Drosophila melanogaster: one gene and its partner. The protein of the gene in region 1 purifies or fractionates together with the protein of each later gene. This does not show direct contact. Each region holds a gene or a part of one and is shown on either strand. Other genes may lie near its edges. The genes, in order: cmb and Rsph3.

Region 1 (16,002 bases):
GGATTGTAGGCCAAGCCAGGAGCACACTGCTGTTCCCACGGATGACCATTGGAACAGACGTAATACTTGCTGCATGATGCCTTACTACCCAGGTAGATGATGTCCTCTGGCTGGAAGGTGGCGGAACAGTCGTTGGCCACACAGTCCACATACTCGGGGAAGTCACAGCGATCCGTGGCGTTGTTGTACTGGAGTCCATCGTGGCATTGGCGTAGCACGGGTTTGCCGTAATAGCAAAGCACGTACTTGGTACAGGTGTTGTCGTAGCAGAAGCTGCTCAATCGGAACGACTCACAGGTGGGCAGACACTGTACCTCCTCCATGTAGGTGCACACTTGGAGAACAGGATCGTAGCCCAGCTCACACGACTTGTTCGGATCGCAAATATCTGGATTATCCTTTGCCAAATCCAAGCAGCTGCCTACTTCCTTAATAGTATTGTCTTAAATACATGGATAGTTTAATGTATTAAAAATATTTTTCATTTGCTTTAAAAACTTATGTGATGTTTTAGTGTATATAACTCACTTTCACACTCGATATATTTGGAGCAATTTCCAACATAGGGCAAATAAACGCCATCCGCCACATTGCCGCAGACATTTATCTGGGTGTTTTCGTACATATCGTAAATATCCTTATCCTGAACATTTAGGCCCTCACCATCGTCGTCTGGACCGGGAGCTACTACAAGATCTTCATCGGCCCGGTTCCGATGAACCATCAAAATGATGAATAGTAGTAGGAGCCCATTTAATAGCCACTTCACTTGGGAAATTACGATTTATTAGGTAAATGAACTATAGGGAATCCCATCGCATGAGCAACTTACTCCTGGATAGTTTGAACTGTGTGCCACAACTGTTTGCTATCAGGCCAGGAAATATTCATTTTATATCGACTCTCTTTCATCGCCTAATGAGTTTTTGCCAATTTACACTTATCAACCAGGTTATTTCGGCACACGACTCCTCTAGAGGAAAACTACGCCATTATTTCTGCAAACATTTCGACTTTCAATTTGTCACCACCAAACTTGGCGATAATAGTCATAGTCGAAATGTTTTAAATAGACTGGTTCCCAGAACCCGTGGATATCGATGAAAAGTGTTTTAATTTCCTTGCACGTGTGGTTTTTTTTTTTATCACTTTAGTGCACGAGTGGTTTAAACATTCAAAGTATTACTGCGCTAGCGATTAAGATATGAAAAGAAAAATAAATAAAATAAAAAATAATTTTATAGAATAATACATTCTATTTGGATTAACTAGGAGCATTTCCTTCCTGTACAACAAATATACATACATATATCTTGAAGAAAATCTTAAACCTAAACTACAACTTAATAATTTCTAGATCTTCAAAGTAATGGGGCTTCCTATCCAAATATTCCAAACACTTGTAACAATTACATCGGATCTTGAGCGATCCGTGGTTCGATGATCAACTGTGACTCATCAATACACGTGTTTCCTAATGGCTGACAGAGGTGTATGTTCCTGAATATTGGCTCTTGTTCACCGAACTTATCTCCGCCAGACGAATTTGAATGAGGAAGAACAATCCAATTACCACATGGAAACATGCATCCACATCCGATAAGATTGGAAATTTGCACGGAATCAAAACAAATCGCAGATTGAATGGCAAGTGAGTTTGCCTATAAATGGAGGGGTTTTTCGAGGTAAGACGATAGTAACCGCAGGAAACCAACCTTGAATAGTGAGTATGAATTGCAGCTATGGAACCGAAATGATCTAACTTGGTTTATTTTCCAAAGTGATAAGTCGCCTGACCCTTTTGGCACTGGTTGCCCTGCTTGGAAGCTGTAGCGCTGCTGATGGCGATGTCAATGTCTGCTCCAATGTGGTCAACAATCTCTTTGTTCCCCAGGTGGGCAACTGTAGCAAGTACTTCCTGTGCATGAGTAAGTCACCAGCACCTGTGGATATCTAGTTCACCGCATTATCATGTTTCTATCCCAGATGAGATAGCTGTACCCCGTGAATGCCCCACGGACTACTACTTCGATGCGAGGGATCAGGAGTGTGTTCCCCTGATGGAGGTCGAGTGTATTGGATCCTGTAAGAACCGTGGTTTGTCATCGTTCTGTTACGATCGCACGTGCACCAAGTACGTTCTCTGCTTCGACGGCACTCCGGTGATCCGTCAGTGCTCCGATGGACTGCAGTACAACGCCCTGACCGATCGCTGTGACTATCCGCAGTATGTCGACTGCGTGGACAATCTGTGCAGCCGGAATAATAATCCGGATGACATCGTTTTCATACCCAGCAAGGCTCGCTGTGACAAGTACTACATTTGCATGGATGGTCTTCCTCAAGTCCAGAACTGCACAAGTGGCCTGCAGTACAATCCAAGCACTCAGAGCTGCGATTTCCCCTCGAAAGTCAACTGCACGGTGCGTGTTTTTTTTTATCTGAAGTTTTCTGGGAGCCACATAAAAACCTATTCATTTCATTCAGGTGGAGAGCCTTCAACGGAATATCCTGCCCTTTGCCCGAGCTCCGCCACGTCTCGCCGACATTGAGTGTCCATCGGAGGGCGCCCACTTTATTGCCCACCAGAAGCGTCAGGATGCGTACTACTACTGCCTGAATGGACGTGGAGTCACCTTGGACTGCACACCCGGCCTGGTGTTCGATGCCAAGCGCGAGGAGTGCCGTGAACCACACCTCGTGGGCTTCTAGTTACTCGAAATAAAGATCCAATACGATTTCAAACAAACGAATGCCTTTATAATACTCGTACTATGAAAAGAAAAGCTTGACAGATTATGTTAATGGGTCTTAAATAAGGCATCCACTTATTTTTTACAATCATCTTAAACCTACCAATTGATTGATTGAACTTGTTGCAAGGGAAATTTACGTTAAAAAGCTATTTGAATACATATTCAAATAACCACTTTATTTTAAAATCATACTATTCGGACATAAAACTTTAGTTGAAGTGGACTAAGTAATAAATAAATATTAAATAAATTTTCAACGAATTAGCTTAATCATTTAAAAATCGAAACATCTTTAGTACTTTTGTCACAAAAACAATTTTTATTCAGATCAACCATGTTACATGCCCACATTCTGGGGTTCACGACACTCCTGAACCGTGGGGTCGTACCAAAGACCCGCCGAACAATCCAGAACCAGACCATGTCCATCCACGCAATAGTAATAGGCATCTCGTCGAGACTCATGGACATAGAAATGGACCCCGGATGGGGGGCAGATTCCTACAGTAGTAACGGGTGAAAGTCGTGAAAGTTGCTGCACTTTTCTTTCCACTGCTGGGATCTAAAAAATAAAAGGGTTATGCAACTATTTCCCTTAGGAGTGTACTGTTGTTCTTAACCCACCTGACAGTCCGACTTAGATGGAATATCGCAGCAATCGCATTTGGTACTAAAGTGGAGGCCAGCAGTGCAGGTTTGCTCCCTGGGAATTCCGTTGCCGCAGATGAAGTACTTCTGGCAGGAAACCTTGCTGGGAACATAGCGCAAATGATACGCATTGGAGTAGATGGAGCACTCGGACTCCACGCAATCGACATTTTGGGGGAAATCACAGCGATCTGTGGCAGAGTTGTATTGAAGGCCATCCTGGCATTGCCGTAGAACGGGTTTTCCGTAGTAGCACAGCACGTACCTCGTACAGGTTCTCTGGTAACTGAAGGTGCTGAAATTGAAAGCCTCGCAGGTGGGCAGACAATCAGCGTCACCAGGATGTACACAGCTTTGGGTATTTGCATTGAACTCATAAGGCCATTCGCATTGCAGTTCTATGGCTTGTCCAGCTAAATATTATAAATAAACATATTATGATAAAGATTCCAAAATATAAAGATCTTAAGCTCCAAACTCACAGCGACAAAGGTAGTACCTATTACAGTCCCCCACAAATGGTAGAAACACATTATCTGCCACATTTCCGCAGATACTCAAGTTGCCCGTAATTAGACCATATTCCAGACCGGAAGTAGTTGAATCCGTTTCTAGGGTGCTATCTGTTGTTCCAGAAACGTCCAAGTCTTTGGGTCTTGCTCCAAAAACACCGCAAAATATGCAGATAAAGTACCATATTACTTCTGCAAAACAGAAAAATTATAATAGTTTTGTATTCCAACTTCTGAACCGCACACCTCCACTCATTGTCAGATTTTTATTCAACTGAATCTCTTCCCTTGTGAAAATGTACCTTTATAAGGTTCAAGCCTCAGATTATCTTATCACTATATCGATGTAAACATTGCAAACAACTGGCAAATGAATTGGTGGGAAAGGCGATGACTCTTGGAAGTCTAAATTTGGATCACCATATTCACAGCAGGTTCACCTAAATCATCATGCAATTGATGTACATTTACTTTAACACAGGGGTTTATATTTATAACTATATTTTTATGAATTAATTTAAATTTTTTTTTGAAAATGCTTCTGTTACAATTACAACGAAAAAATGTTTTAAGCATGTTTTCAATTTAATTGTTACCTTCCTTTTCTAAACATAAAAAAAGTTTCCTTTGTAGACTTTCATATTAATGTGGAAAAGCTTGTCGGCTGTTTCTAAAAACTCTACACGAACACGAAAACGATTCAAAATATTTTCGTTTTCGGCACATCGTTTCAGTTGAAATTTGGGCATCTCTTTGTGCGCACAGCTCATCGCTCGGAGGATTCGAATATACGATTAAAAGGTAGCATTTTCAAGTATAATATATGTGGTGTATTGTGGTGTACATTTTCATAAGTGCACTTGTTAGTTTTGTCTTCAAAAATGCCAAGATGACTGACACTATTCTAACTGAAAAATAATTTAACAAAGAGCCATTTATTTATAGACAGTGCCTTGCGATGGGCCTTTGTTTGTATTGAGAAAATAATCAACGTGCACGATATACATAACACCAAGTATTCCCTCTTCTCCTCAGGAACCCAGAAAATGGTCAACGAACTGAATAGGCCTCAAAATGGGGACAATGCCGCCTTGAGCGAGGTAAGCTGGAGTCTTCGGGAAATTGCAAAACTCTTAGTATTTAAGTGTTTTAAAACAATAAGAAAACACAGTCAGTAAAGTTAAATAAATACCGTGACACATTCTTTTTAGACAACAAAATGAATGAGTCACACCAATAAGCCTACAGTCTCTAGATGTTTCAGTTGAAATGAAATTTAAGTACGAAGCTTTTTCTATACCAGTGAGCTAAAAAATAGAGTTTTTTAATAATAATATACAAAATCATTTTTCTTTTGATGCCCTAATGTAGTCTTTGAACTATGATGTTTTTAAACCAATTTTTTCATTATTGAAGCTTTCAAAACTAATTATTTGTATTTTTTAAGCGCCTAGCTGCTTCCAACAGACAGCTGCAAGAGATGCAGGAGGAGCACCGCCAGTTGCTTGAGGAGATGGAGACACTGCGCTTACGAGCCGCTGAGCTGACCCTTCTGAATGCCCAGCGCCGACAAGTGCGGCAGTCCACCGAGGAGGAGGAGGTTCAGTCCCACGTTGAATCCTCATCGGAGACAGTAACAGTTGCTTCATCCGCCAGTGCTTCTGGAGAGTTCACAAACCGGGAAGAGGCACCATCTGGTGAGGAAGAGGGCGGGGAGGACAAAGAGGAGCAGGCCAGTTATCTGCAGGAGAAGCTAAACGAGATCGCCAACCTGAAGGCGCAGTTTAAGCGCGTGCAGAACATGGTGGACACCACCAAGATGATCGAGGAGCACATGTCCTCCAGGCAAACGGTACAGGTCCAGAGCTCCACCTCCGTTCAGACCAGCAGGCAGACCACCTCGTCAGAAGTCCGAGTGGCCAGCGAGGCCGTAGAGAGTGCCCAAGAAGAGAATCCATCGACCTCGTCGAGTGCTCCCGATAACGCCGAGCTCCTGAATTCCATGCTTAACATGTTCACGGACTTCACCAGTGATCTACGCGGTCAAGCGGTGGGACTCCGGGCGGAGAGGGATCGGATTCGTGCGCTCAAGGAGGACATCATCCAGCGCAAGCAGGGAAAGTAGGCACGTCCAAACTTGAAAGGGAAAATGGCTCTAGTCATATAATGTTTATTATCCAAGGAACATATTATAAAGTAATCTCCAAATAAATAATTATCCTTAAAAGATATCAAATTACCAAGTAACGTTAGTTTATCTACACCAAAAGCATTTAAAATACTTTTTACAGATATACATTTTATTTTAAACTAAAAATAATATTTATTTTTGAATTTTAGAAAACATTCGATTTCAAAAAACGTCCGCTGCCAGTGTGACCATAACTTGGTAGGCTTGTTAACTAGCTTCCAGCCCTGGTTGGGAACAGCTGTCAGAGTGCGCAAAGCAAAAAAACAAAGTGGGAGTACAAAAAAGAGGAGTTTTTTCAATTTTGTAGCGTCGTTTTTTGTACGCAAATATATATATATATATTTTCTAATGGCGCCGCCGCCCAAGGTAGTTGTGGACCAAGCCAACGCCAGCGCCCGCAGCAATGGCAGCAGCAACAACAACTCGGTGGGCGGGGCAACCGGTGCGGTGCCTAAACAACAAACGCCTGTAAACGGAGCACCCACGTCCGGGTCGAGTGCATCTGTGACATCCAGCCGGTCGGCCCGCTCTCGCCGGCAGCAGGAGCACCTGGGCGAACCGGACATGGAACTTGTCGAGCCAGAGACGCTGCAGCGGGAGACGCTGAAAACTCTGAATGTAAGTTAGACGGACGTCTGGTTGCCATGGCAAATCTTCTCGAAGAGAAGACACCAAGACCTTTCTCTTCTTGGTTTTATAAATACACTTTACACTCATCGCGACCTGCGGAAATTCGTTAGCCGCTGGCTCAGTAGCGAATGCGAACTCAACCACTGCGGACAACGAATTTCGATCGGCCAGAGCAGCGCCCTTATACATATATATATATATATCTGAAATAGATATATATATATAGACCTAAAATCAGCAAAATTACCGCAATCCTCGTGCTGGTTTTCCTGCTAATCTTCATTTACTGTTGCTTAAAGGATCTCCTCCAGCGAGCACGCATCACCAACGCCAAGAATCGATCGCCGGCGGAGCAGCATCTGTCTAGCAAGGATCACAGGTCGCCTGCACAACAGCAACAGCAGCGCGAGGCACTGCGTCAGTTGGCCGCCGAACACGGCAACTACGATACAGCAGGTAATGGGTCCTGAAACCGTTGAGGAATATACACATTTAATTGAGCAATTTCCAATATCCGCACCTGGCAAAGTGATCGGCCTGGCCCACACAGAGATCGGTGCGCCAGTTCATGTTCTATAAATAAGATGCGCACGAAAATAAACGCCCACTGAGATGATGTAGTTCGCAGCGCAGTATTTAGCAATGGACCTAAACATCCATACTGATCTTTGGCTATTTTCCATTACAGAGCAACTGCAGGAACAGCAGCAGCGCTATCGATTCCCCGTCCGTCCTGTCCAGAGGGTTCAGCACCAGCCATCCTCGTCAGCTAATAGCACAGGCGCCCCCTCATCTTCGACGGCTTTGCTGCGTTTGCGTCAATCGACGCCTCCGAATGCCACAGTAGGTGTGGTCATACCGAACGCAACTACCAGCAACGGAAACGGCAATTTGAGTGGCAACGAGGAGCAGGCACCGCCACTGACCCCCGCTGGACTGCAACAACTCGTTCACCGACTTCTTGGTGTACACCATTTTGCTCCCAGAACCGAAGGTTTTCGCTCGCAGGTTGACGTGTTACGCGCCCTGCTAGGATTAGACGAGAACCTGAATAGCAGATATCAACCGAGTAGGAAAGTTGTAGAGGTGAGTTTGAAAGCTTGTGTCAGGAACTTCAAGTGAGCCGTACATTTATAACATTTATAAGATTGATAATAACATTTTTTATATCGTAATAATAAATGAAACTAAATCCTTTAATTCTTGCCCCAGACGAACAACATGGTGCACGAAATCAACCCAAATTCGGATCAGGGTGAAGGCGTAGTCAATTCGACCAGCTTGGAGGATGTTGCATTAAGCGAGGTTAGTTGGTTAATAAAACCAAAAGTCTGCCTTCTAGTACTCAAACCATTTGTACCTTTCAGATGAGCGACAACCGCGCCCAATCCATTCAGTCCCTACACAGCGTCTTGGAAACGCCCACGCCCGATACCACGCCCAGCTTCGATGAGTTGCAGCAGCGCTTGGAAGCCTCCAATAGGAACATGCAGCACCTGCACGACGAACAGGCGAAGCTGTTACAAATCCAAAATTTGGCCAAGACTCACCTTAACGAGATGGAGCGGCTGCGCCAGCAAGCCGATAGCTTACCCCACAATGTCAATGGGGGAGAGGCCCCCAAATACGAGTCCGTGCAGCAGGTACAGGACGACATGGCGTCGCTGGTGGGGCGCATGAAGAATCTCACCGCCTTTATACACAACCAGAACGAACTGAGCACGGTGCTTGGCGATGATGGGCCCGAGATCCTGGCCGAGCAGGAAGCCCTGCAGGAGAAACTGGAATCACTGCGCACCCAACGTGAGGATATGCGCAATCTGGTGGACGAACTAAACAGCATCAACCGTGCGGCCAGGGAGACTGCTAGAGTCATCAAAGAGAAAGAGGAGACTCCCACGCCTCCTCCCAAGCCAGAGGAGGCTGCCCCAGCGGCTCCCAAGGAGCGTGTTGTTCCTGTGGAGTATCAGAGAAACGTACCCATCATACGCCAGGAGGCGGCCAACGCTGCTCAACGGGCACTTCACGCACAGGCAATGATCAACCAGAAGACGGCAGATATAGAAGCACTCAAGGCTCAGATGGCGAGACTAAAGGGAATGCTGTACACTGTTAGCCAGATTGAAGAAAGTACTCCCAGCATGGGCTCCACCTTAGAGCGGCGTAGTGAGGAAAGAACTAGCGTGGAGCGCGAATTGCCGGCCGAGATTGCCCAGCGCGTATTCGCTCTGAACGATGTTACGAGCGAACTGAGAGCGGAAGCAGCAAGCTTGCAAAAGGAGCGTGACCGTATCCTAGCCCTGAAGGCAGAGATTGAGCGACGCAAACAACAGGCGGCCGCCGCTGTTCAAATGGGCGATGATGCACTTAAAAGAAGCAGTCTTACCCCAACACCCACCCCCATGAGACAGCGGATGACCGAGGAAGAGGATCCATCCGAAGTGGATAATTCTCTTCAGGCTACGCCCACCAAGGAACAACTGCGCGATGAACTGCGCTCGCAGTGCGAGCGCCTGCGAACGGAATACGAGCAGAAGCAGCGGGAACTGGAGCAGCGTTACGTAGCCAGTAACAACACCACATCGGAGGCGGATGACGAGGCAAACGACGACACTGACAGCGATAAGTACTTCGCCAACGTACGTACCGCTTCCTCAGCGACCCTAAAGAGGGCTCCATCCGCCAACACAGTGGTGGAGCAACGACGAGGTCAGCAACCTAACGTTCCCCCACAGCAGGCACCACCACCACCGCCGCCTGCTCCTCCGTCGACGCTAAACGAAGATGACCTGAATGTGACACTTGATACGCTATCCCTGGGTAATGACAGCATACCATCCAGCAGCAATAGATCGCAGTACATGCCGCCCCCCATGCAACCAGTGCCTGGAATGTGGGGTACGTTTTTAATTCCACCAACAAAGGCGGAAATTTACCAACTTTACTTTACCAACTTGAATTCATGTATTAGTTTCCTCGTTTTACGCTTATTTTTATGCATCCGCTAGCAGCATCACACAACTCTGGAAGTTCGTGGCATGGACAGCAGCCCGTCTACGGTCAGCCGAGCTCCAGTGCCGGCACAGAGTTTAAAAAGCTGCCAGCCGCCCAACAAGGGGGCTCCTCAAATGGATCCGGATCGAATGCCTCTACCGACGCAGTTCTGCTGCAGCAGTTCATGCAGACGCAGCAAATGCTTATCAACTCTGTGTGCCAGTGCAACCAGGCACTGTGGCATCAACAGCGCGAAATCGACAACCTCAACCACCAGCTACATGCGGTAAGACAATCCATGAGATTAGAGAGCCTAATCAAAGACTAATTCAAGTGTTTTTTCACAGCTCCAGGATCGATTTAATGTTGTAGCATGCCAGGATCACAGCTTCGGCTTGCGCTCGGAATCAGTACCGCCTCCGGTGGGCCCTGGAATGGGTCAGATGCCCAACAATCTGTGCCTGGGCAGCAGTCGAGCTCAATCTGAGCAGCTATTTAACTTTGGTGCCCACCAGAGCGCCTTTAGTAACTATCAGCGCAGCTGTCATCGTAGCGGGGCAGAATCGCATCATCATCAACAGCAGCAGCATCAGGCGCAGCCGTTCCTTAACAATGCTGCTCCCCCGCCACCGCCGACGCACTTCAACAACGAGACACCCCTGTCGCCGCCTACTTACCGCTCAAGTCCAGGTCCCATCTTCATGAACCACCATAACAACACGATACATCAGAACAACTCGAATCTGCGAACCCAGAACCAGCATGCCAACAATCTGCACTCGCTGCCCGAGGGAGCAGCTGGTGGAGGAGCACCTGGTGGCGGTATTACATTGAACAATCAAGTACCACCCGGAAACAGAGCCAACAACTACTGGGACAACTTCCGCAGGTAATGCTTTATAACTTTGGTGTTGGATTTATTAATGGTTGTTTGATGGAAAAGGGTCAAAAGCAATAAAAATTAAATAAAACTATTGTGAAGAGTTAATTTTCAATTCTGTGCACCGGTAAGTGCGACCACGCGTTGCAGATAAGTGTCCCATTAACAGAGTTGAAAGTGACTAACCAAGACTAACTCCAAGTACTGACCAAGTTTTGCAAGTGCCTATTCGGCAGTAAACAAAGCTAATTTATAAAAGATGTGTATTCAATTTAAAAAGGATATATGGAATAGAAAAACTTAACTTAGTAACGCTCACTAGATTTAGCTAGTTTATCAACTGCATGATTCTTTGCTACCCGCTTGCATTAACCCATTAATATCTGTACGCTCTTCCAGCCATTCGCGCCAAAATCTCTTATCAAATAAAAGCAACGAGGAGCTGAACGTGGACCTCCAGCAGTATCGGCGACAACGGGCACGTCCCAGCTACTTTCAGCCGCCCCAGTTGCTTCCGCCTACTACGCGTGGTGGTTTGACCCACCAGCAGCAGCGTCGTCACTTTTTCGAGGCGCCACTAACCGCTTTGCATGGCAGCAGCTCCAATGGCAGCAATAATCTCAACAACAGCGGCAGTTCGGGCAGAAAAAGGGACTGGCGCGATGATGCAGGCCACATTCGCGACCACGACGATGAGGATGTGGACGAGGTGGAGGAGAACCATGATAACGTCATATTCGGCTCGGGTCGACGTCGCAATCGTCGCCGTCCTCAGCTTTCCACGCTGCGGGATGATGAGTCCGAGCAGGCTAGCTCCTCCAATCTCAACATGAACGTAAACTATGGCAACAGTCCGCTGTATCAGCGGAACAAGGTACCAGCAAAGCCCACCACTTCGACTGTGTCGCTTACTCCTCTGCAGCAGCGACATCTTCGTTTCGACTTCGAACTTCCAGCTCACTACATGGACTACATCGAGCTACCCCAGATTACTCCAGTGGACACTACTCCTACGCTCGGACAAGAAGCATCGCCCGCGGACGAATCAAATGCCATGGAGCAAACCGAGGAAACGGCCTCCGAGGAACTGAATCGAAATCTGCTGGTTAACGCTCTGAAGAACGACAAGTTCACCACAAAGTTTTATGAATCAATCAAGGAGGATGTCTACCGCCGGCTGGAGACACTCTTCGAGCAGCAGCAGCAGCAGCAGCAACAACAACAGCAACAAAATCAGCAGCTGCAGCACTCACATGAACCACACGGCTTGCGAAAGGCTCTTAACCAGGAGGAGAACGAACCTACTGGCGACGCCGAGGCCACCGAGAGTCGCAGTGAAACCCCGCTAGAGGTAATGCGTCTGCAGCTAGACAACGATCGGCCCGAGGACGAAAAAGGAACGCCAGTGAAGCAGCTAAGTTTGTCCAATCCACAGAACGGGCAGCACCTGGATGAAATGGAGGACAGTGCTTCTGCTGTTATCTCTTCTCTTAGGACCGAGAACGAAGAGGTAAGAAAGGCTTTCGTAAACTGGATCGATTAACTCATAATTGCGTCTTCCTTACCAGCAAATCCTCGAGGGAAAACTAGAACAAGCCTCTGGCTCGGGATCAGGACCAGGGACCAGCATAGAACTGGCACCGGATCACGAACTAATCGAGTACATTATCAAACGCATTCGCAATCAGACGCACAACAACACCGTCATCAATGACTCCCTACTGGCAGAGGTATCAAAGCTGACGGCCACTGCTGCCCAGAATTCGACCGCCAGCTCGCCACTAATTTCGCCCAAACGCATATATGCCAAGATCAAGAAGATGGACATACCACGACAGCGGGACGAGTTCCTGCTTTGGTACCGTTCTTATTTGGAGCAGCTGTTTGTGGTGGAACAGCCGCAGGATAGCTGCAAGACCAAGTCGAAGGTGACACCTTCTGGAGCCAGTCCGGCCAAGCTGAAGAACCAGCGTGTGCGCAAACAGTCCCAATCCCAGTCGCAGGACTCGAATAACGATGCAGACTTGGCCGAGGCGGACCAAAAGAACGTCTCCTCCGCGGGAAATGGCGAACTGGAGTGCGAGAACAACGAAAATCCCGACGAGGAGGCAGATGGACAGGCTGCAGCGGAGCCTTCCGGCGCAGAAAAACAGGACGTCAGTCTCGAATAGACTAGAGAATAACCCAACAAAGCAAACATTCCTTATTTAAGAAGTCATCATCTGTACGGATATTTCATATTTCATTTACGAATTTCGGAAAAGATAAATCTTTTATGGTCGTGTCCTTAGTCGTAGTTCGCAACTCATTTTGGGTATCAGTTTTTTATTTAACACTAAATTATGTAACAATAATATATATAAATACACTGAAAACAAGAAGGGTTTTGAATTCACCTAACAATCCCTGAGAATAAATACTTCTCCGGATTCTATTAGCCACTCCTTGCGGACGTCATCTGCTCCAGCATGCGGTAGTAGCAGTACCGGCTATCGTAGTCCAGATCGTACCAGAAGTTCACGGCGATGCACTTGTGGCTTTGGGACACATGGTGGAACCAGTAGTTGGGCAGGTATAGGATGTCTCCCGCGTGAACACGTACTTTCAGAGGCTTGGCCCGGGCGTACTCCGGATATTTGGCCAGGTCGGGTGACAAGGGATCAACGCTGACCCATTCTGTGAACTGATCGCTGCCTTCCTCATCCCTCAACGGTTCAATGTAGAACTGACCACTATCTGAGGTCTTGTAAACGCCTGTAGGGTAAATTCCTCGCGGTACGCAGCTAAGCTGGTGCGGCGGGATGAGAACGAAGTCCTTGTGACCGGATATCACGCAGTACACGTTCTCGTATGGATCCTTGTGCATGGAGGTAACGGCGCGCTCGTCGCCCAGCCAAAAGTTAACAGCATCAGGCGGTTTGTTAAAGGACTGCTGCGCAAAGTCGAGATCACTGACCCGCAGATCAGCAGCCAGTTCCGGTAGGTCCACACTGAGGTTAGAGTTCTGCTTTTGTATGTAGTGGACAGCACCAGTGGGATCATCCAGGCGGCGGACCACCTCGGACAGCTTCATTTTCGTCTCCAGCGGCAAAACGAAGTACTCCTGTCCATTTTGAGTGGCCAAGCCGTCGGCATAGCCATTCGGGGTGATTGCCACATCCACGCTCCTGTCCCCGAGAGCCTCGATCAGGTACTTTGGCGTCCATTTGCCAATCGCGGGCCAATTGAGTGCCTTGCGAATGACCACCGGCTGGTTTTTGGAGTAGAATTCCCGACAAAACTCCAAGGCGGTTGGAATCCTGTCCAGCTCCACTACGCTGCTCCCGATGCACAGCTCCTCCGCTTCCTGGAGCAGAACATCCAGAGCTCTTTCGACCTCGGACATGCCGGTAAACAACACGCACTAACGCATTTTCCGCTAGAGTGGACCTTATCAGCGCAGTGTAATGTGGGGTTCTGGTTTTCAGTGAAAGTTAAACTGAAGTGCTGCAGTGAATTTAATTAGTTTCACCAAATGACGTATTAAATAAATAATATATTATACACAAATTAAATTGAAACATTTATTATTGTAATTTTTGTTACGTTTTTAAAGTAAGTAAGCAAGGTATTCCGAAAAAATCGATAAGGGTCAAATTCGCGTCGGTGAAATGCAAAAATGCTAAGAAAAGAAAGATCTTACTATCTATCTTATAGAGGTTGTCTAGCGTGCATTTTGATTTTGATTTTGCTTTTAATAATTAATTTGAATTTGGTGGTATAGAAATATAAGTGGTATTTTCTGAAACTGCAATGGTGTTGAGAACTGTGGTATTTATTTGCAAGTCGCTTGGTATTTTCCAGCGCTTTCGGCGCGGTCCCACTGGACGCGAGTGTGTTTGCGAGTGCGGGACTTTCAAGACGCGCGCGAAGCTGCGGACAGTCGGATAGGAAGTGGAGCGGACTGGAATGCAAACAAGACGACGCGTGTCGAGTGTTTGTGATAGAAACAAATTGTTTTCGAATACGGTCGGTGCTCTATTTGTTTTGTGAAATACAATTGATTTCACCAGCGACTCAGAGGAGGATCAGGGTCGTCACCTCTTTTGCATGCCCGACATTCGCGCGGATTCGAAGTTCAGCTGGTGCGATTCGAGCAACAGGTGGCGGATGACGGATGGATGGATGGGTGGCTAAATGGATCGTGTCGATGGGCCACGGGATTTGGCGAAATTTGGTGCTGATAGACTTATAGACTGACATAGGCCCGGCATTATTATTTGTGGCCAAAAGGGGTCAGGCGGTGTGCGCGTGAGGAAATTGAATTGACTTGGTGGCCACCGGCGGCGGTCCGAAATCGAAATCTGTGTCGCAAATGTGGCACTAATAAATTATCGCACATTCGCGCGCCGCACAGCGAGTGCTTCATTAATGCAGGAATCGCAAATGACGGAGAATATCTAGTTTTGCAGCGGCACTGCGTTTGTTTCATTTTGCCAGGAGAACGTGACCAAACTTTCCAAGTGCCGCGTGAATTGGATCTACCCAGCCAATAGGTCTTAATAGAGCTAACAATTATTTTTGGTAGCCACGCTTCGCGAAGCTGGGCGCAAACAAAAAAGAACGCAAACTCCGTGGCCTATAAATATCGGTCTTCGGAATTACTAAATCCAATTGCAGTCCAATTAGCAGTCGGACGCCAATGAAGCGGCTGTGAAAGAGTAAGTACGATGCTCTTTTGAAGCAAATACTTGCAAACGTCGAAGTTTACACACCCTAACGATTAAAGAATGTTTAACTTAACTGAAACATAAAAAATTATGCTTAAATAAATAAATTGATGTCTTAATTTGCCAATCAGACTCTGTGACTCTAAACACACAGTTCCAATCAGACAAATTTTCAAATCTAATCTGCTTAAAAATAAACCAAAGTGATTGATAGAGTCTTATGTTGATAGCTATTTAACTGATATAGGCTATAATAGACACTTCCGGTGAAAGTTCCCTTCAATGCATTACAAACCATAGACTGCAGCGCATATACCCTCCAAAAAAAGAGAATCAAAATCAACAAACGCCAACAGTGCGTATGACAGTTCTTACGCAATTAAAATACCATCACTGGCTGTAAGATTTACATAAATTCGGCCTGCGAAACTGAAAACTGATAAGCGTCATAAAAAAAAAATGAGGGGCAGCAACAACAATTGGTGTGTGAACCGAAACCCGAAAGCCGAAAAGCCAGTTGGGGAAACAATGCCAAACTCGCACAGAGCAATGCATTTTTCCACAATTTATTTAAATTTCGCACAGTTGTTGCTGCTGCATGGCAAGCCCCGAAATGAGTCAGTCGCGTGGCGCTGCACTCGCAGTTGCACTCGCACTTGCATTCGCTGCATGCCAGCGCGTA
Region 2 (15,195 bases), 6.7 Mb from region 1:
GTACATAATGGAGGATCCCTCGTTGTCTGTTCCTGCGAATTGGGCCTGCAGCGGTGCCTCCGGTGGCTCAGTGGTGCCATGGTGGTGCAGTGGTTGTGTGGAGGCCGCCCGTCATCCAATGTCAAGTTGGAGCGATGGACGGACGAGGACGAAGAGGGAGGACGAGCTGCCTTCTGGCTCTAATCAGATTCAGATGTCGTCGAAAAATGCGCGACGCGCTGGCCATTTTAGCCAGCATCGCGTAACACGGTAGTTGGGCCAACTTAGGGCTCCTCGGCTGCCCTCCGTTTCTGTTTCAGTTTCTGATTCTGATTCCAGTGGCATGCAGCTGAAGCTGAAGCTTGAGCTGAAGAAGAATGACGAAGTCATAGCCGAGATGCGTCAATTTTAGATTCAACAAAAATGATTGCAATGCATGTTGGGCCCGGATTCCGTCCTGGATGGATTCAGGATTGAGGAGACGAGATGAGACGAGACGAACAACCAGTTTGGTGGCACAGACCGACCGTCTGTCAGGGGCAACTTGTGAAATGCCAATTTATTCGTTAGCAAATATTGCATCTGATAGAACGGACCCCGAATGAAGGCTGGCTGGCTTTGGCATTGGCTCTGGTTGTGGTTCTGGGTCTGGGTCTTACTGGGTCTTTTCGGGCCTGAACCCGAACTCCAGGCCTCTGATTTCGATTTCGAGTGGCAGTGCAACATATGCAGACATGACTGCCAGGATCTCGGGACTCTCGGGTCTTCTTGGCTACTGAATCATGTGTAAAAATCTTAAGTGCAAACAATTGTACGCGTTTATCGTGTCTCTGGGGCGACGACCACCATTGAAGCTCCATCGGAAAACACAGGAGTCGAACAGAAAGGGCAGTGGAGTTGGTCTTTTTGGGCGGACAGCGGAAGAGCCCAGGAAGAGATTCCGTTTAATTAAGCTTGCTGATTCTTTAGGCGGTTTTTGTTCTCTCGTCGTTTTTTATTTTATTTTATTTTATTTTTTTGAGTAAAAATTGGTTTAAGCACTTTTTGGAAAGCCCTTAAGGTGGTACATCGATCCGATCGATCGGCTCAGTTTTGCCAAAAATATCCATCAAATTGATCAATGCTCATAAATCAAATGCGGATGCCATGGCGAGTATTATAAAAGTTTGACTCGCTTTTACTGGAAATTGCCCGCAAGAGGGCCTGGCTGTCTGAAATTAGTTTTGCCCTTGCCTTTTTTCGTTTGCCTGATGCGTCCGTTATGGCGACGCACGCTGACCCAATAATTACGACCCCCTCCTCAATCCACACCTAACCAGCCATCCAGCCAGCATTCGGTCCATTTCGGCATCCATCCATCCATCCATCCTCCCGAGAAATTGAGAGTGAAACTCAAGCGCAGACATTCTATGCGATACATTTATGTTGGTATTTTCGGAAAGCCCGCGGCATGTTGAACATTTTTGCTTATCAGTAAGATACAGCCTTAGGTTTTTCATGTTACCGGATACTCTGCAAACAGCTTTGGGGGATTTTTATTTTATCGAAATATAAAAATGTATTAATTCTTTCTGTTCTTCATACAATGAAAAATATATAACTTTATTATAATATATTTTATGATCATTAGAACTAAATTCATATTTAGTGGCAAATAATTGCAATCATTAATCGAATAAATTCCAGCTTGTGTACAAGCTTTTCTCTTTCTAAGAGTATCAAACCTTTTACTTTTAAATCTGTACATCCCATCTAAGACTTCGCTCTTAACTAATGTTCCAAATGACTGACTAAAATATAATTTTGTGATTGCTGGCTATATAGCACGCGTCACACACGCAGCTAAAATTATAAAGCCGCTTAAAGTGGTTGCGTTATATAGGAAGATTTTGGGAGAAGTTTGGACCGCGGGCGAATGTCACACCACGCGATAAGCAGGGGGTTTTGGATAGACGTCTAGACGTCTTCTAGAGGCTGAGATTAGAGATTGGTATTAGGAATTTGGTGTTTTTGGCTTTTTGGATTTTTCGATTTCTGATTTCGGTTTCAACCTGACCGGGCTAATCAATTTTAAATGTGTTTTTGCGTGTCAATCGCTTGTTTGCGTGTGCGACTTTTATTGATATGCTTTTTGGTCTTTTGATTGTTGCCAAGGCATTTTGGTTAATAATTATTACCTGACTCGACTTGGCTTGCCTTGAAGTCAGTCCTCCATCTCCTCGCTGATAGTTTCTCGGTTTCTCGATTGTTTTTCTGAGTGAAATTCATTTGATTTATTGCACAAATTATGGAGACAGCGAGCTAGCTAGCTGGCCAGGTCTATTGGCCATTATGCAAGACAACAACCTGAAGCGGTGGCAAGCGACAACTATAACTATGTATAACCACGATGAGCTGGGCAGTTGCCTTTACACTTGTCTCTGTCTCTTTGGCGCATTTTTACAAATTTGGCACGGCTGCCCATAAAAATTGGTTCGAATAAAAAAGTGTGAAACTGCAAATGGCGTCGCCTTGGTTAGACGAGTTCTTGACTCGATTTGGCATACCAACGATTAGCATAGTTTTCTGTTCAGTCAGATAGCTATATGTATATACTCTATACAGCTGCAACATTGTATCTAACGATAGATATATCAACTGCAATTCGGGGCGGCCAAGGGGGCGTGGCCCAGCCGCACGCGTTGCAACGGAAGTCCAGCTCATTTGGCCAGCGAAAGAAATCGAAAAACGCGGCGCGAGCGGAAGGGATTTCTTTTTTAAACGCATCCTGGACACACGTTCGAGGACAACTTCATTGATATATGGTTTGTTTTTCCTCCTTTTTTTTAGACCCATCCAAACTTCCTGTGTGCAGCCTTTTGTTTGCCAGCAAACGGCCAACGAAAAAGTGTAATAAATATTCTCGAATTTTATTCCGGCAAATGGTGGGGGGGGGTTTCGTTTTATGAACTTGTCTAACCATTTTCGAGCACGCCCAGCTACCACCAGCCATTAAAAATATATAAGAAGTATTTTCAATAATTAAAAACGAGTTGCTTTTTATCGATTCATAACCCCCCCCCCCTAAAACAAATAATAAATAAGACCAATAAAACCCTACAAGGAACTACGTAAAGCTGTTCAATATTATGAATCAGGTCTGATTCGTTGAGAGCCCCACGCAGCGCCACCCATGAAAAACAATGAAAAAAAGTCTGTAAAATTCCATTGATTGGTTAATTTCTTTCATAGTTTTCTCGATTTTTATGAGCCCACAAAATGTCTTTTGTGGAATATGCTCCTTCAATGGCGAGGCGAATATGTTGACAATAAACAATGGATAGCCAGTGAAGTGGATGACTGTTGAAAGTTTGATGAAGTGAGATCGCATAGCCCGATATTGGAATAGTATTGCTCATAAGACGAGAGGGGTGAGCCATTAAATACCAATTTGTAGGCAATCGTTAAGTCATAAGAGGATAAATCAGAAGTGTGGGTTTCGAATAGCTGGCGAATAGCATGAAATTGTTCTATGAATATGGGATTTGATGATGATTGGCGTAGAAACTTCCGGCTGTTGTAAGAAATTGGGTTGTAAAAGTTGAATAACATTATTAATAAGTTACAAAACTATTTATTGTGATTAACCATATCAATCAATCTTAATTTTATATAAAACATCTCCGTTAAACCTTTAACTGTAAAAGTTATTCTTCAGGCTTAATGTGTTGAACCCTTTGGAAATTTCTTAACCCGCTACGTGACCAAATTTCCGAGTCCCGGTCACGCGCATCCTTAACACTTGTTCCCGATGAAGTCGCAACAGGAAGAGCGATTTCCACACCTTACGGATCGCTTCCAGGAAAAACGGAAGTCATCTTCCAATTGCCTTGTAGTGTGGCCACAACAGATTATGCTCAGCTAATAAAGATCTTCGGATTTTTAACACCACACGTAGTCCTTGGAAATTTTCTGACTAATTGAGTTATGAGGCAAAACAAGCCAGCACCCAAAAGATCGATTACGATCGATGCCCAAAAACAATGTTGTTTACAATTTTTCTAGGTAAAATCGGAGAGTTTTGCACGTGTGTAACAGGTAAATTCCGTTGAAATCTGTCTGGAAAGTGAAGAGAGAGAGAGAGTGAAAGTGTGCCCAGCAGGAAGATCTTTATCCTGGACATATTGTTATTATCCTTGAAACAGGAGGCTGATACAGGTGGCGCCTAACGGTTCTTCGAGTCATAACATCCCTATTTTATTTATGTGTGTGTGTGTGGGAAGGTGAAACCTTTATTGCAAGCAGAGATAAAACAAACTACCAGGTGAATAAATTTTGTATTTTAAATTCTTGATTCTCTAACGCTTCTAATCGCTAGACTCTAATCATCTGCATATTTATTGGCCAAAGTGAGAATCACAACTCTGTCAGAGCAACTTTACAGCTTGTAATTGAAAAATTGCGGCTTTTCCAACTGCATTTCATTTTCCAACTGACAGACAAACAAAAAATCTCAGCTGCAGCCAATGAAGTTTGCTATATTTTTTTTCTGACCCTCTCTGTTGAAAAGGGTAAGAAACTATTCCTCGCTCGAGAGGGCGACTCAATTATGAGGAATGGTTTTTGGTTTCGGGCTCCTAAGCCCGAGCACTGCCGCAAACATTCGCATCAATTATGCATACGCCAACGCACACAAAGGACTCGGACTCGGCGCAGCTCCCGAAATCCTTGCTGCCCCCAGGATTTGAAACTTGCCTCAGTTCAGTTCGGTTCAGTTCAGCTTACCGCATGGCAAATTCGACGAATTTCCTGCGGTTTTCAAGCATTTCACTTGCCCTGCAAACGTAGGGACAAGCCTCCTCCTCCTCCTCCTCCTCGACCGCAAACAGCATTGGTCGAATTCAATTTATTGTAAATGTGCAAAAGGATTTGTTGCGGATCGGGTTGCCCGAGAATGCGAACCCAAAATGCAGCTGTACTCGAGGCGAAAAATGGGGGAACAGTTGTCCTTCTCGTTAACATGGCACATCCGCATGTCAAAAATGTCGCACAAAAATCAATCGGACGGCCATTCTGGGGTCCACTGGGGGTCCAAAAGGGAGGGTCAAGCGTACCAGGAACCCTGGTTGGAAAAAAAAAATCCAACAAAATTTTAAACAGAAATAAAAACAAAAAGCAGGCAAAAGGCAAACCCAAGCCAACTGAAAAGCAAATTAGCAATTCCGATGCGACCATTTATATTGTTCATTCTCATTGTTGTTGACGATCGTCTGATCGCGTTTATATTTTTATTTCATTTTCTATTTCCCCCTTAAGTGTGTATCAGTGTGTAAGGAAAAAAAAAAAAGAAGCTTGCTCGGTTTTTTTTTTAGAATTATTCCGCCGTGTAGTTGGAAGCGATCGTTTGGAAGCAAACGGATTTAGCTGTTATCAAGTCGCCAGCGAAAATGCAAATCAGACGCACAAAAGTCAACCGAATGGCGAAATGTAAGGGGCGGCAATGTCTAATGTCTGACTAAAACTAACTAAAACCAACAAAAACGACATTTTCACTTACCTCGCACATTTGTCAGGCGAAGAACGACGAGGAAGTTAAAGAGCCATTTATGCTCCAAATGTCAGCAATCAATAATACTCGGAAATATTTCAGTCATGCAAGCTTGTACCCCCGAAAAAGCTACAAAAATGTTTGCGTGTTTTGCATTGCTTATATATGGGGCTTGTCATTAGGAGAAAAATGGTTATATTTATTTTAATTTGCCTGAGTTTGTTTATCGGTTAAGGTCTGGAGAGGGCCAGCATGTAGATTATCAACAGAAATATTATCTGACAATTTAAGACAGTTCTATACCCATGAATTACTTTCTATAACTTCTTCAAATATGGCATGCAATTAATCAACAATCAGTTTTCAGTTTTGTTTTAACATTACTACAAGTACTCTGTATTTGATTTATTTATAAATTTCATTACCATAATCCAGTTTAATTTCCGTATGCACGATAAATCATATTAATATGAAATAAAAATTTTAATAAAGCAGTAATCAAATTAATTTTTTAAAATTTGCATTATTTGATATATTTAAATCATTACAATTTAAAATTTTTATACTTCTACTTTAGTTTTCTTTAATTTCTTTGAAATGACTAATGTGGTGAATCTAGGCCACTCAATATTTTCCAGATTACGCTTACATTTATTTTCACAGATTTACCCATAACTACATATTTTATGATCCTGTTGGCGCCACAGTCGCACATAAATAACTCATAAAAAAGTGCCCACAACAGCAGCCCGCAGATAATTCAACAATTGTGTCTGCCGAATGTTTTTTACGATCCGCAACCGTTAGGAACCCGAAGATCACTTTCCCTTCGACAAGCGGTAATAAATTAATCAAATCCCGTGCTGGACGTAATTTTTCCAGGGAAAATTGCAGCTCACACCTACACAGTGAAATGGATAGTATCTTGAGGAATATCGAGGAGTATCCGCAGTAAATGATTTGTTTGACAAGAAGCCAACAAACTCAGTGGGATGCCTTTGCCCGGTGACTTCGCAGAATCCGTATCGTATCTGAGCAAATGATCGGGAAATTGCGGGACAAGATCTCAGTCGCCAGTTGTCGCCTGTGTGGCCATCATTAACCTTTGAACTCACTAAATGGCCAAAGGACCACAGCGAATGTCAAACGTCATGGCCACTTATCGAGTGCGGACTGTTGTTCCTGTGATCTTATTAGGCATTTTCGGGAATTTCAAGGGGTTCGCTTCGGACGCAATTATCACCCCCGCATAAAGCGAAACGTCATCGTTGACAGCCACGTCATTGTTGTCCAGTCCGAAGACCAAAGTCCTTCGAACTATTTGTTAATGAATAGACAGAACCATACAAAAGATTCTGTGTAACTCGAAACAGAAAAAGGGGGTCAATTCAAATGACAAACGTTCGATAGTCCGAGATATGATAAGCCTTGAAAACCTAATTAAATGACACGTTCCAGGGAAATTCGATTCAGGCGTGGCTACATCGAAACGTTTTAACTGATGGCAAGCGATTTAACTTAGTGATAAATAGTTTAGAAAATTCAAAGTCATTTTAATATCAAGGAATTAGTGAGATTTTTTGATGTCCCCAAGGCAATTGTGCAACCAAATAGACCAAAAATGTAATTTATCTGCAAACTTACCACTAATCGATGATAACAATTTTGAAATAAAATTTTTTTATAAACTTTTTTCTTTGTTACTGTAAACTATTTAATATTAGCCAATAAATAGTAGCATTGAAAACTGCTTGCAATTTAGGTTCGGGTTTACTGCTTGCTGACAAGTAAAACAAAGTATACATATGTATAATATACATTTTACTGTAAAAAAATATTCACATTGTAAGTGTATAATGTCATGTAGAAAAATATAGTTATTTTGCTTAGGACTTGTAAAATGTTTTAACCATTTTAGACCTTAATGAATAATTTTAAAAATTGTAAAATTTATACAAAAAACATAAATAATTATTTTTCTGCCATCCTGCTTAAATTTAACGATGCGCTTAAAGTGTCAATTAAAAATCTATCTATGAATCAAAATCCCGAACAGCAGCTGTATCTGCAGAATGCATGCAATGTAGTTGGAATAATAAATCAGTAATAATAAAATGATAATGATAAATAATAAATAAATTATATTGGTATTTGGTCAAGTCCAGCTAAAAGCTAATAAAGCTCCTTAGAAAAAGTTGCTTTGCATTAGTTTCTCCTTGCTAGGAAGATATAAAAATAGATTCCTCATACTGAATGATAGTTAGTTGTGTATAATATATGGGAATGTGTAGTGACCATTCGCTAAGCGAAAGTTAGAAGGAAAAATTGCAAATGTCTCGATAGACTTTCAGTCAAAAAACGAACAAAATCTATCGAGTGTTAATACGAATAAAGTGCATTGCCAAAGACCCATCCCCACACAGCAACAGTTTAACAATGCCGACTTTCAATTCCCATGGCAACTGAGGAAATTCCGCCGTCGTTGTTTATTTTGGATACAAATTTTTTGATAATACAATATTTTTTTAAATATGGAGATAAAAACATAGGACAAAGAACTCCAGTGAAAATGTGTCACATAAATAAATCTATTTTGTACACATAAATTTGGCAAGCGGTAGACCTTTATCCGATATATATATTTTAAGTTTTTAAAAACCTCAATAACGCAACATAGCAATAGTTAGCAATGCCGACGATCCCGAAGAGGGATTACAAACCCAATGGTGGTGGCAAAAGCTCAGGAATGGATTTCCTCAGTTCCGGCATCAAGGGAACCGAGGTCACCGAGATGCAGCTCAAGTGGCACGAGAATCCTTGTCCAGCGCCACCATGCAAACAGGCATTTTGGTGGGCCAGCCATCCCAAGCCGATCAAAATCAAAGGTTGCCCCAAGTAAGTATCAAACAGAAGCCACCCAAAGAATTTCCCATGCTTCCCTGTAATTCCCTGTAATTTAAGTCCGACAAGTAGGGTATATTGAATATTTCGTAAAATTATATTATAATATTAATCAACTTTCTTACTTTCTTTGTAATTTATATAATATATAATAATTCAATAAGTAGTTAAGAAATCATTTATACGCTACAAATATGAACCATTAGAAATTGTAAGCTCGAGTTAATTATCATGGGTATTACTCCTCTTGTAATGAGTATCCTATAGTTGCAAAACCATTGCTTTTTGTAACGCCTTGCAGGGGAATTTTCTACACCTTTATATGTCTCCCCACTGGGGTCAATGGAACCCAAGACCAAAAACGAAAGTCATAAATTGCGTAAATAAATTATTAAACGCTGGCCGTGTTCGGCTGATGGTCAATACAATGGCCCCACTAAAGGACACGCAAACTTGGTACGATTTTGAATAGAAACATTCGTGTTCTGAAGGGAAACAATAGAAGGAGTGCACAGGACAGGAAATTATGAGGAGTGTGGAAGTCGATGAGTGCTTAAAACTATTGTAGAAATTGACGCACTAGTATCATAAAAATATACAAATATATCTGACTACCGATAATGACGGGGGCTGGACTTGGGTCGGATTAAGGTCAACCAGGGAATAAGGATGATCCCCAAATATGATAAAAACCCAATAAACTATAGTGTATCTAAATCCAGTTGTAGTAAAGTGCTCATTCTTCTCTCAAGCTAAAAATCGAATAAATACTACAGTGTGGTATATCTTATATCTTATCATTTATTCGAATATATTAGTACATCAATTCTGAACTGTATATGTTCAAATTAGGATAAGAATACCGTGCTTTAGGTCAGCCAACGAATTTAATCATATAGAAGTATGATTGAGTGAAAGAAAATTACCTTTTTTAACAACAGGCTTTACCAAAAGCTTTTGGACTTCTGATACATTCTTACCAATTCCTGTTACAATAATCTTTCATCTATTCACTGACCTTTCTTCATTGCCAGTAAAAAAGAGTGACTCCTTGGAGTGCCAAGAAATCTACTTAATTATGCTTAGTTCCCTGTTGAATTCCGCTTATCAGGCAGTCCAAGCAATTGACCTTGGCCATTGACAATACCTAGGAGGTGTTCCAAGTAATAGAGAGCCACCCACCTCCTTTTTCAATGTCAGGCAGGGAAATGCGTGAAGTCATCTCCGACAATGTGAAAGGAAATGTGGACACCATCGAAACAAATTCAAGGTCCCTCCGCCGGGCGAAACCTTTAATTGGAGACCCCAACGAAACTACTTGGATGGAAAAGAAAAAGCTCTTATGCAAAGTAGAATTCCTGGGAACGTGGATTTGGCCATGCCAATGCCACCGACTGTTAACAGTTCGCATTATTATTGCAACACCTGCCCATCATGTGCCTCAAACTGCGAAGCAAGCGATACACTCAGAAAAAAATTTGAAAAATATGTGTATATAGTATAGAAACTTACATTGTGGCACGCACGCGAAGTATTGTTATTTAAACTTATGAAACAGCAACATGAATAGTTTAAATATGCAATTTTCTATATAAACCAATTGCAGCACTTTAAGGATATTTTTACTAAAAATGTCCTTTGAAGTAACAGCTCAATTCCTGGAAAGCTTTAGTCGTGGGCAGTAGGAGACTATATGTTCCACATATTTTTCCAACTGCACGACGACTGCTGACCACGGGCCGAATCCAAAGTCGAAACCGGGTCCGAGCGCGAGTTCCACGAGTCCTGCGAGTCCTTTGGTCATTTGGCGTTTGCCATTCGAGCCGTGCGGTACGTGTTCCGCGACAAAATCAAACAATCAACCAACGAACGCAACACCTGAGCGGCGCACAAAAGGGAAAAATATAGGAAAAGTATTGATTAAGTTTTTCGGTGCGGCGGGTGAGAGAACCGTGTGGTGGCTATTTATAATGAACGAGGTGACCGGCGGCCGGGAGCAGGGATAACCGAGACGGTAGCGGAGACCATGCCAGAGACGGAGCAGCAGCAGCACCCAGCACACTCACATCCTGAACTTAAGCCAGATCCACAGCCAGTGCCAGAACTGGAGCACCTCACCGACAATAGACCGAATCGCGTGCAGAACTTCTCCTTCGCCAGCAGCTATCCCTACGCACCAGGACGCGTCTCGTCCAGCTCCAATTCGAACACCAACTACAGCTCCACCAACTACAACGCCGGCGGCTTCAACGTCCAGCGCTATCAGAGTCCCTACAATTTCCAGCACGTGGTGACCAACGCATTCTCGGTGCTGCGCCATCAGCCCTCCGAGGAGCCCGAATTCGATTCCTATCCAACGCGACCCCAACAGGCCATCGTGCGTCCGATTAGACGTGAGGCGGGCATAGCTGATAACCGTGATAATCATGTAGGGAATCCTCCACAGCGATCGCACTTCTCGCGCAGCAACCAGGAGGTGCGCAGCTTCGCCGATGAGCTGAGCCAGAAGCTGCGCTTCCTGGCGCCGGAGGAGCAGAACTACGGCGGTCGCCAGAGCGCCAATTCCGGTGCCTGGATGGATCCAGCGATGTCGCAGCGACCACGATTCGAGACCACAGTGCCGCAGGGCATCTTCCTGCCGCCTCCGCATGAGGTCCAAATGATACCGGCCACCATGCTGAGGAGGCATGTCTACGCCTACTCCTCATATCCCATGATCCTCCAAGGGTATCTCACCAAGGAGACCGGCAGTGAGAGCAAGGAGCAGAAGGTGACCGCCACCCGGCTGAACGGTTTGCGTGCCACGGCGGCAGTGGCGGCGGCCACAGCTGCGGCCTCCAAATCCTCCCGTAACGATACGCAATCCCTCGCCGGTGGACTCCACATCACCAAGGCTCAGTTCCAACAACAACTGCAACAGCGTCGCTCCACCAGCAACAACAACAACAACAGCAGCAGCAACATCAGCGACAAGAGGTAATAAAAAGACCAACCCCCAAAATGGTATGGGTGCTAAACTTGGAAGTAAAAAAAAAAAAGGTGGGAAGTGGAAAAGGTCCGACAACTGACCAAGGCAAAGTGGGCCAAAATATATTACCATAAATTCAAATGAGTAATACGTACGTACCTACACTGCCATTCTGCAATGGAACCAGAACTTAGCTCCCCACTTCAGTTCCTACGGCCATTATCGATTGACACCCAAACAATTCAATTACAAATAGGTTTTGTGGTTTAAAGTGCCGAATTGAATCCTTCAAGGATTTGTTATCTAAACTGATATAGATTCAAGATGATACCTTATTGATCTGTTTTTAGACTTTACTATGACACGCAAATAGAATGGAAGGCTCTTCATCAGCCAAGTTTCTTGTGTGGCTCACCCACTTTCACAATTAACTCTTTAACAATTCAATTAGAAATGCTTTTCCAATAACATTCGGACATTGTAAATTCCCTGAACGGTTTGATTAATTTATTTAGCGCATTCTCGAATGGGAAAACTCGTTTGCCTTGCATAAAAGAACATGCGAACAAATGGACAAATGGACAAAGGGACAAAGGACCCTCGAATGTGTCGTGCCAGCGGAGAATATTCTATATTCCCAGCTCGGGGCTTAAATAATTTAAATCAAGATTTCGTAAACAACAACAATATGTACCCATTGTACCAAAGCACAAATGGAGGGATATTAAGTTCAATTACCACACCAGAGAAGAAGGACACCTATGGCACAATAATAAAAAAAAAAAAAAAAACAAAAAACAGGTCCTGCCGGTCGTTTTTACCCAAATGGGATGTTGTTCGGCCAAATGGGCTATACTTTTTGGGTTACGAAAAATGAAATATCACACTCAACGTTTAAATAAAGAACCTATTAGGGAGATAACTATTTTATAACTCAAAAAGGATTCACCAACTTAGATTTTCGTTCAGACCATATATCCCTCATAAGGACATCGCACTAAGGGTTTCCCGTTCCATTTGCTGATGTCTGTGGTGCGCAGACCCAGACCCAGAGAAATGTTGTTAGACATTCGCCAGCAACTTCAATGTGACTTCCTGTTTGTGGGCCAAAAGTAGCTGCGAATTTGCATAGGTCACGAGTTCAGGTGCCAAGTTCTTCTAGTGCAATGTCTAACTACGTTATATACTACTTCTACTCGCAGTCAGCATGTATGTATCAGCATATATGTAGAAATGTAAGAAATGTTTGTTTCCCCATTTACTTGCCGGTGCTATACATATAAATTAGCAAGTCATAAATTACTCAGCCACCGCGGACTGGACTCGTGGAACTTTAAGCAGGCTTTAAACTCTGACCCAAAAGTGTACTGAACTTTGGCGAAATTGATTCGAATCGGAGATGACCTGACAAGCAGTCTGCGAGGGCGTTGGGAAATGAACAAATTTGATGTTTATCGCCTTGATAGTGCAACAGATTTGGGTCTTGGCAAATGCAGCAAAGTGCACTGAAACTGCAGCAAATCAAAACTAAATAAATAAAATATTTAAACTTTAATAGAAAGAAGTTAACAAATCTAAAGATAACTAAAACTCATACACTTTTAACTTGCTTTTCCAGCAGCAATTACAATATTTATCCATACATAGATATCATATTTATTAGAGAACTTAACCATTTATGTAGTAATCCTTTTAAGTTGCACATTTACGAACCTTTTCAAAAAGTCTGCAGCTTTTTTGCTGCATGAGCAGTTTGTTGAACTGGGTCGAGGCTTACTAATTGGTGGCTCCCACCTGGGCAACTCCATGCCCGCTTCTCCACTTTGCTCCTCTTGCAGACCCGTCGTCCCGCCGCCGGAACCCTACAAGAACGTCATGTACGACCGTCGCGTCATAAAGGGCAGCAACTTCGGCAACGCCTCTCTGGTGGTAAGTCCCATCAGTTCAGCTCAGCTTAGCTCAGTGCTCTGGCAGCCCTGACCTACGACTAATCCACTTTTTGCTTCCTCTCCAGACGGATGTGGATCCCTTCGACAAGGCCGCCGAATTGAGGCGTCGCAATATGTTGCGCAAACGGACGATGCAGTGCCGCAATCAGAGAAATGTCCTGGGCACACCGCCGCCGGTCAAGGGGCGGAAGCACGAGACCATACAGACGGAGAAGTATCTGGAGAAGTTGGTGCAGCGTCCGCCGGAGTTCACCATCGACACGCAGACGGACCTGTTCCTCGAGAAGCCGCCGACGCCTCCGTTCATACCGGCCAAGGTGGGCGTGGATGTGGCCACCGAGATCGGTGAGGGCGAACTCTTCCACTTCGATGCCGAGGCGCAGCCAATCATCGATGTCCTGGTGGACGCCTGCATTGAACAAAGCATGCTGGAGGTGGCTCACGAGATGGAACTGTCCAGTCTGCGACGCAAACAGGAAGAGTACGTATAAAAAGTGTAAAGTAAATCTTCAGATTACTATAATGGCGTTTTGTGTTACCCACAGATTCCTGGCCCAGAGGGAGGCGGAACTGGCCGAGCTGCGCCGTTTGGAGGCTGAGGAGCTGCGCTTGCAGGCGGAGAAGGAGCGTCGCCTGCGACAAGATGCGATTGCCAAGGAGCTGGACGCTGAGATGCAGAAGAGCGTGACGGCGGCCAAGTTGCTCCAGGGACACATTGCCAGTCTGGTGCCGGAGGTGCTGGAGAACATTGAGCCGGCCAGCGATGCCGTTAAGAAGGAGCAGCTTATGAAGAGCGTCTGCCCGTGGTTGTCCGCCGAGGTGGCCGAGGAAGTGGGCCATATAGTGGACTCGCGCGAGATTCTCACCGCCATCATTCAGGAGATTATCAAGCAGCGTGCCGAGATCTATGCCGGCTACAAGGAACCTGAATCGGAACCATCCGGACCGGATGCGGGCGTTTGTGAGGAGGAGGGCTGTGCCATCGATGAGATGGAGGCGTGTCCCTGCGAATCGGAAACGGAAATGGAGGAGTGCCCCGAACCGCCACCACCGGCTCCTCATCTCTAAGTGATTGCGTTCGAGTTTTAGTTCATATATATATTTCGAGTGGGATACTGATTCCGCACACATGTAACACTAACACACTCCTGCTATTAAATCAAGGTTGGCTGCAACTTTGTGGTTGTGTCTGGTGAAGAACTCAATTCGCCGCAGGATTCGAATCGAGCCTGGGCGCCAAACACAATTGCATAGCGGCGGCGGCGAAATGGCATCGAAAAAATGGAATGGCATATTGTAAACTGGATACTTGTTAAAGGTTTTTGTGTTACCGAAAATTCAACCAATAAAGCTCAACAAAATAAGCCGAACAAAACATTTTAGAAAATATTTTAAACGGTTGTTAAATTAAATTAAAATATTAATAGAGCCAAGCAATTTGAAATTTCAATGTTACCTTGGTATTTAAGGGGTCTGCATGTACGGTCACACTGCACGTGACGTCACATTGTTTTTTCCATACCGAATTAATGAATCACCACTGACCGAATTTCCTTGTTTTCACAACTAATTCGGAAGTCCAGGGTGTAGTGAAGATGTTTTCCAGCGGCCCCAATTACAACAAACTGAAGACCAATCTTCGATTGGCTCTCAATCGCCTGAAATTGCTGGAGAAGAAGAAGGCGGAGCTGACGCAAAAGTCCAGGAAGGAAATAGCCGACTATTTGGCCACGGGCAAAACGGAAAGGGCGAGGATTCGCGTGGAGCACATCATTAGGTGGGTGCAGGAATATATGAGCCATTCTTATACCTCCATATATCGTATATATCGTACATCATAGGGAGGACTACTTGGTGGAGGCAATGGAAAT

The links.
Region 2: the proteins of cmb (region 1) and Rsph3 purify together in Drosophila melanogaster (affinity purification with western blotting, with the first as the bait; one study listed by BioGRID). This does not show direct contact.

Annotation. Positions count from the first base shown.
Region 1 is NT_037436.4:13,436,264-13,452,265, forward strand, and holds cmb (combover), read left to right. Parts: upstream 1-6,330; 5' UTR 6,331-6,455; coding exon 6,456-6,725; intron 6,726-6,855; exon of another isoform or gene 6,856-7,036; coding exon 7,037-7,193; intron 7,194-7,425; coding exon 7,426-7,823; intron 7,824-7,949; coding exon 7,950-8,042; intron 8,043-8,104; coding exon 8,105-9,635; intron 9,636-9,745; coding exon of another isoform or gene 9,746-9,748; coding exon 9,749-10,017; intron 10,018-10,078; coding exon 10,079-10,620; coding exon of another isoform or gene 10,621-10,624; exon of another isoform or gene 10,625-10,698; intron 10,699-11,010; coding exon 11,011-12,121; intron 12,122-12,179; coding exon 12,180-12,782; 3' UTR 12,783-12,982; downstream 12,983-16,002. Other genes in the region: CG10154 (uncharacterized protein), read right to left, coding at 1-442, 529-768, 833-833; CG10725 (uncharacterized protein), read left to right, coding at 1,723-1,723, 1,782-1,928, 1,987-2,423, 2,488-2,712; CG10140 (uncharacterized protein), read right to left, coding at 3,094-3,318, 3,381-3,817, 3,887-4,108, 4,163-4,172; CG14109 (uncharacterized protein), read left to right, coding at 4,963-5,016, 5,364-6,041; JMJD7 (jumonji domain containing 7), read right to left, coding at 13,046-13,996.
Region 2 is NT_037436.4:6,756,129-6,771,323, reverse strand, and holds Rsph3 (radial spoke head protein 3), read left to right. Parts: upstream 1-10,209; 5' UTR 10,210-10,433; coding exon 10,434-11,383; intron 11,384-13,213; coding exon 13,214-13,304; intron 13,305-13,389; coding exon 13,390-13,805; intron 13,806-13,869; coding exon 13,870-14,392; 3' UTR 14,393-14,695; downstream 14,696-15,195. Other genes in the region: Ist1, read left to right, coding at 14,920-15,101, 15,166-15,195.